2 linked regions of the Arabidopsis thaliana genome follow. The protein of the gene in region 2 interacts with the protein of the main gene of each other region in a pairwise test. Each region holds a gene or a part of one and is shown on either strand. Other genes may lie near its edges.

Region 1 (3,757 bases), about 17 Mb from region 2:
TATACCAAACACTTTGCGCTTTTAGCGAGCTAGTACGTACGTACGAGAAATAAAGTAAAAAAGTAACACATAAACTACGTATCAACGAGATCAAACTTTTGATAAAACAACATTAATCGCTAGAAGGAATTTGATTTTTCTAGTACTTATCAAATAAAACAAAAGGTCGCAAAAAAAAACAAAAATTATTATCACATCCTATGTTGACGTCACAAAACAAAGAAATTGTTATAGGCTTAGGGTTCGGACAAGTGTGGTCCTAAGCCTATCTTCCGATCTTAATCCTTCTGGAACCAAAACAACAACATCTTGAACCATAACCTGACTCAAGCGCGACGCGTTCGCGTGTTGTACACGACAATCCATTTCCATTAACGCACTCATCAATGCCGACGTAGGATGGTTCACATTCTCTGTCTGAACCCTAATTATGGCTTCTTCTCCGACGATCTTCACTTGCACTTCCAAGTCAGAGCCTCTGTTTGATTTTGAAGGTTTCTGGTTAACTTGGTACTCAACGGAAGACGGAGACGTATTGCTGCTGCTGTTGTCTAATTTATCTGTCTCCGTCATCTTCATTTTCTTGATCTCAGTTTCGAGATCATCGATTTTGGATTTAAGACTTTCTATGTACGAAACTGCGTCGGATAAAAGTGACGCTTTGTCCATTCGTGACACTTTTGGTACGATGGCACGTAGAGCGTAAAACCGGTGGTTTAGCTTCTCTCTCCGTTGCTTCTCCGCTTCCACGTGGGACAAAACCGCCGGATGATGTTTCTCTTTCGTCGCCGCAGCTACCCTTGTCGTCTCAAGTTTCCTCCTCCGTTTTCTTTCCGACCCGAATTGCTGATTTCCGCTTTTCGAATGATCTGATACCGCCGGTTTAGGGTAAGAACCGGTTTGGTTAGTGTGTTTTGTTGTTTTACCCGACCCGAATATGGACTTGACTCGGTTTATAAAGTTCCGGTTTTGTATAATTGATTCAGACGAACCAAGTTCGATAATGCCATTGTTGATGGGTATGGAGACCAATGTGTGTACCCCGTGAAAACCGGCTTCTTTAGCCCTCTCGTAGTTGCTAAACCGGAGCTCGTCGGGACCGGTTAACCAAACCAAAGATTCATCGGATACTTCCTTTCTCGGCGATCTATCTTCACCGTAAAACGATGCGGCATAGAACAACTCCAGATCATCTCCACCGTCCATCATCAGCTCACACTCGATGCTGTTTGTTGTATACTTAAGAAAGAAACAAAAACAAAAAATCAAGGGTAAGGAAAATTATATTATTTTCTTAATAGAACTTTTTTAAGAAGTTGATTTAAATAAATTTTGGATATTTTGATTAGATAACATAAGAGGCAAAGAAAAATGAACATTTTCTTGGGAATTGTTGTTCTTGTTTCCACAGAAATGACCATCAACCCAAACCAAGTAAGACCGGTCCGATTGATCATCAAACATCTTTTGCCAAAAAATGACATAAGCCCATCGGTCCGGTGAGGTTTCCACGACAAACCGGAGTTTTTGTTGAAGTACTAAATCCGGAGGAGAAGAGGACACTATGGCTGCAGGAGTTTGTTGTGTAAAAGAGAGCAAAGAAGAGGACAATGATGGAGAGAAAGTGAGATTATACATTTCTTTCCAGTGATCCCGACCAAAGAGAATTTAGAGGGTTAGAGAAGACAAGTGGAAAAGGATGAATAAGATTCTAAATTAATAGAGAAGACGATATTATAGTAGTAATATCAAATTTTCATTAATGATTTTCGTGAATTAAAGTTTATGATAAATATTCCAATAGTAGTAAGTTAGTCACGTGAAAACTGAACTGTTTTCCTACTTTAACGTTATAAGAACAACAATTTATCGTATAGTGGTCCAACTTTGATGAAATAGACAATATATCATTCTTTGCCAAAAAAAAAAAAAAAAAAAAGACAATATATCATTTAGATTTATATTGAATGATGGTTCAAACGAAAACTTATTTTGACAAATTTGAAAAGAAAAAAAAAACATGAGAGCTACAACAAATGGATATATGTGACTTTATAAATTTCATAAAGGAAATGATTTATTCAAATTGGGGTAAGCATTGATCGAAGTTGAGTTATATAGAAAACAATAAGGAGTTATTACTTATTAGAAGCGATCAATGATCCTCATAGCAGCGTCAGAGAGTTGAGCATAGATATTGATTTGACTAAATAGTTGGGGAGACGTGAACTTGACACGTTTGAGATTGAACATACATCTCAGAGGAAAGCCAAGCGCAAGCTTTATCGATTTGTTGGTTTTATCATAATCACCGGTTTTCAAACTTGTTTTGGCTTCCGACAGTATTGTAGATGCATTCGTCGACAAGTCTTTTTTGCAAATCTCCAGAGCTGTTTTCACTTCACCTTTATCTTTCTTTGACGATAAATTCGTTATGTTACTACACAAATGAAAAAATTGATATATTAGAGGATATTTCTGTATATTGGTTATAATTTGTAAGTGAAAACTTGCTTGGTGATGATATGGAGGTGGGATTCAAGACAGTTTATGACGATGCCAGCTATGCCTATATGGTCGGCGTGAATGGAGTTTGGGTCGGATTCAAGACATTGCATGCATATGGCTGGGACGTCTGCATTGTGGCATTCATTTATCATCATGTCCTTCTCGGCGCATATCGACATAGGAGAGATCACCAGTATTAACAGCAGAAACTTGATCATCGTTTTCATGCTAAGTATGATTGATTATAGACTATATTTCTTTTTAAGGGGTGTGAATTACTTATATAAACTAAGAATATGGTTGGTCATGACTCATGAGTGATCTCTTTTACATTACACGTGTTTAACGTCTTTAATTTTACCTTTAAAACTGACCATTGAAATGCAAATTGATGTCTTATTTTACTTCATTTGGGTAGAAAAGCAGATTATAGTTCTCTTTTTGAATTATAATTTATACATTTTCTTACTCCATTCAATAATATTATGATCTATTACCCTTTAGTTTATGTTTTAAGTTTTTTTAATACATTTATGGATATTATTAGACATATAAACAATATAATAATTAAGATGTTTTGGCTTAGAACCTCCTAGTATTAAAAAAAAAAGTAGGGTAATTAATGATGTTTTTTCTTAAAACAATAACTAAAAGTAAGTAAAAGTTTTTTTTTTGTTAATTTTAAATTTTACTAATTGTAAGTAGGTAATAATAAAATTTAAATAAATTAGTGTAATTGTTTTTTTTTATATATACTTAGCTGAATACTTCCGTAAACATGTTTATAATACAAAAGCCCAATTTTGGCCCATAAACTTATAAAACATGGGTTTTTTTTTGTCGTTATAAAACATGGTTTTAGTTCACGAAGAATAATATATTCCTACCGCATCTAATCTATTAAACAAAATCACGTTATTGTATTTGGTAGTGAGTGTTGTTATTCTGGCCATACAAATGGTCAAAAGCCTCTCGTCCATTTCTTTCCATTTTCAAGATTCTTCAATCCATCATTATTTTGCTTTACTTATAAAGAATCGTACGAAAAATTATAATCGAAATAAAGTTTCGAATATACGTACTTCAAACAAAATTAAGAGGAGAAGACCACTGCACAATTGCATATTTATGGTAGATTTTGCTTCACTTTTTTTTGCAAGTGTATGATTAAAGTTTTTCTAACATATCATGAGGTTGTTATTTTTGTGACCGTAAAGATTTAATGAACAACAATTGCGTAGACAACAAT
Region 2 (3,757 bases):
CTTCCTTATTTCAACTCTCATGTTTACATCTACAAAAACTCCCGAACAAACTCAAAGTTTTGAGCATATATAACATAAGTTGGTAAAGATTATATCATTCACTATGCAGACTTTCAAAGCTCAAGATCCAACACTTGTCTCTTCTTCTTTGTTTCATCATTTCTACAGCTACTACGTCCATCAGACTTCTCCTCCTCTTCATCCTCCTCCTCCTCATCTTCCTCTGAGCTATGACCAACATTACTACTGAACAACCCTCTTGCAACAAGTGGGCTTTGTGGCGAATCCGACCTCGACAAACTTATTAAGCTCTGCGATTCTCTCTCTAACACACCTGGCTGATCCGACGATGACAAAGTCTTTGTCGGATGCAGCGGATGCTTACGGATATGCATTCTATATTTCTGCAATAACAATTTCATTTCACCGCACTGTCAAAATCATTCATTCATCCACACATCAAAGTTTAAGTTACTGTAAAAGATGAGAACTTTTACTTGTAAATGGCTCTTGACTTCATCATTGGTTAAACCATCAACTTTCATCAAATCTCTAATCTGCTTTGGTGTAGCAACTGTCTCACAACAACAACAACAACAACAACAACAACAATACAAAACAATCTCAGTATAATCAATCAATCAAATCTAAAGCAAAGTTTGATCCTTTACTAAGGTTAAGGACTAACCTTGTGGCCCTCCAAGCCTATGAAGAGCATCAACAAATTTACGGTGAAGTTCCTGTGACCATCTCCTTCTCTGCTCTTTCTTCTGAATGTGATGACTCTGTGAAGAAGGTTTATTGAATTGATGATGATGATGACTCTGCTCAATTCTGCTATAATCCATCATCATCTCTGATGTTGGAGTCATGAGAGACAGAGGAGCTGGTGGTGGAGGAGGTGGGGGACGGTTAAATGGCATAAATACCCCTCCTTGATTAGGGTAATTACATGTCTGAAATGGGTTCTGACTCACACACCGATCTTCTTCTTCTTCATTTGTCTGTCAAAACATGATCATAAGGTCAACAAGATCAATCACACAACATATGATTCTTCACAAAACATAAAAAGGGTTGCTTTTTGATCGTACCGATCGGAATTGGGAATTAGGGTTCGAGATCCATAACTGGGCAGAGCTCATCCAGCTCTTCTTATCAGTTTCCGGTTTTGCCCTTTCAACATCATCGAATTTCCCATTAGATGCCATCAGTGATAACCCTTTTCTAGCCTCATCCTTCAACGCCCCAATCGCTACACAGAGAAAAACAATCTCTTTAAACAAAAACACGAATCGATTAGAGAAGATAAAAAAAAGAAAAGGAGAGAATTTTAATAAAAGATACCTTCGTTCAATAAGAGCATGCATAAAGGGAGTTCTCGTTTAAAAACATCGATTTTGTTCCTTTCTTCCTCTAATTTTCCGACATAACCATCGATTTCAGACAGTTTGGAATGATTGTCTTTGATCCTCGACACTTCATCGAGAAATTGAGATAAGGGTTTTGGTAAAGAGTAGATAGACAAATTCAGATTAAGACCCATCCTTTGATCGGTTTCTGTTTGAACCATCGGACAAGATAAAGACAAAGAGAAGCAAGCTTAAAGAGGTATATATAGAAGAAGATGATGAAGATGCTGAAGAAGATAAATGAGAACAAAAAAAAAATGAGATTAGGGAAGAAGAAGAAGGACGCGGTGAACCGTAGCCGCTGTAAATAAGTGGAGACTTGAGGGTGTTTTTGTCAATATTAAAATTAGATTTATCTTTAAATGGAAGAAAGAATCTTTTTGTGATGCCCGTACACACGCGGCGAATCGTTACACTCACTTATATATATTTATTCTTCTCTTTTTTTATATTTTTCTTTAAGGATTTTTTTCCTTTTAATTCGGCTATTAATTATATTACAATTTTCAGTTTTGGGAAACTTGTTATTTATTTTGTTTTTAGTGCTCTTCTCATTCAAGATTCTCATATTCCTGTTATCCTGTATTTAATATTTTCCCAAATTAGTCTTAAAAAGAGGATTCTGAAGAATCTATAATATTTTACAAACACTATTTTCTGCATATGGAGTGGTTCAGGCTGTGAAATATCCCACTAAAATATTTATTAAAGATAATATAAAAAGAATCTGTTGAAAGACTAAAAATAAAATAAAGCAACTCAATTATTGGATAAAAAATTAAAAATAAGGAATTAACAAAATCAAACTATAACTAAGAAAGATCAAATTTATTTGTACAAAATTAACAATTTTCTACTTTTTTAAAGAAAAATCAAATTTTATTTTCCTACTTTAACAATTAAAAGTAGATAAGTTACACTTTTTTGGAGTAAAAAATTACGTTTGAAATAAAGAAGATTTAGACTACAACAAATATTGACTTTTTATAACCTAAATGTTATGAGCTTGAAAGTTATACATTTATAGTCAACATGATATGAGATTAAATGTTGAATATAAAAAAGGTATGTACCACATAGTACATGTAGCACATCGTCAGAAATAACTTTGCTAGACCAACAATACCGAATGGGCATAACCGTGTATGGCCTATGGGCTATGGATTCATGTATTTGTTATTGTATCTCAAACACAGAGCTATACTGAAATCTCGGTTTCATGGAATTCGAACCACTCGTTTAAAAACCGATAAAACATTCAAACTATACAATCGGGTTTAATTAAACGATGTTCTTAGATAGGCAAAACCACATGTACGTTTATGCAAGTAGTACGATACATAAATTCGTACTTCAGTTTGTACTACTATCATATAACTAGACTAAATTAGTAGAGCCGTATAAATAATTAATCTTTACTAGTATAGGACATATTCGCTTTAGTTTATCTTTTCGAATAGAAAAATTATACTAAATTTTGCTAAATTTTACTAAAAAATTATACTAAACATTTTACCCGGAAAAAAATTATACTAAATTTTGCTAACACAAGCTACTAGCTGTATTAGAAATCGACACATACGTATGTGATTTTAAAAGAGTGAAGTGGTCAAAAGATCTCTTTGTCTTTTCTTTATTTTTACCACACGCAACGTCCATTTACATTCACGGTGAGCATTAGTTTCAAGAAATCACGTAACCTTTGTGTTTATAAGTGCCCTTTTCATGGTTTAGTTGGTTTTGGTTATCGTATTATGAATATTTTTGTTCATTTCAGTGTTGATATTCTTTTCAAGAAACTAGGTTGATCATTCTTATGTAGCACCATTATTTCTTGCAAATTATTCCACTACTCATCCATTTTTTTTACTAATCAAAACTTATATCGTTCAAAAGGTGAATTATACTTAATATTATTATATGAAATAAAACTCAAGAATTCTCTAGCAAAATGAGAAAAAAGGATCTTTCGCATAATCCAATGTAAAAGATCCCAGTACGCAAAGCTACTTTATTCCATGCTTTTTCCTGCTAGCCAAATACAAATTTCTTTCAATTTTAAAATAGCATTCAATTTTTTCAAAATAACATTTGATTCCTCTAACAAAAAGATATTCCGAAACACAGTAGCATGTAAAATGCCTAGGACCTATAAACAATAAAGACCACAAGGAATCTAACGGACGGACCAAAAGAAACGGCTCACTGTTAGCCAACTATACCAGGACACGTGTCCAACTAATCCAGATTCTTTATCATGAGAATCGTTTTTTTCTTTCAAGGAGGAACTGAAACGTCTCGACTTTGTTTGTAATAAAGACGTCGAGATTTTGATGCCGTTGATT

Evidence for each region. Proteins that work in one complex are often made in the same cells at the same time.
Region 1: the proteins of AT4G37180 (region 2) and AT4G00870 interact in a two-hybrid assay, tested with the Arabidopsis thaliana proteins (one large-scale study listed by BioGRID).

What each region holds. Positions count from the first base shown.
Region 1 is NC_003075.7:362,002-365,758, forward strand, and holds the start of AT4G00870 (basic helix-loop-helix (bHLH) DNA-binding superfamily protein), read right to left. Parts: upstream 1,709-3,757; 5' UTR 1,639-1,708; coding exon 1,378-1,638; intron 1,240-1,377; coding exon 229-1,239; 3' UTR 1-228. Other genes in the region: AT4G00872 (Plant invertase/pectin methylesterase inhibitor superfamily protein), read right to left, coding at 2,146-2,440, 2,515-2,735.
Region 2 is NC_003075.7:17,502,464-17,506,220, reverse strand, and holds the start of AT4G37180 (Homeodomain-like superfamily protein), read right to left. Parts: upstream 1,658-3,757; 5' UTR 1,574-1,657; coding exon 1,348-1,573; intron 1,277-1,347; coding exon 1,095-1,276; intron 1,005-1,094; coding exon 689-1,004; intron 575-688; coding exon 498-574; coding exon of another isoform or gene 441-497; exon of another isoform or gene 405-440; coding exon 114-404; 3' UTR 1-113.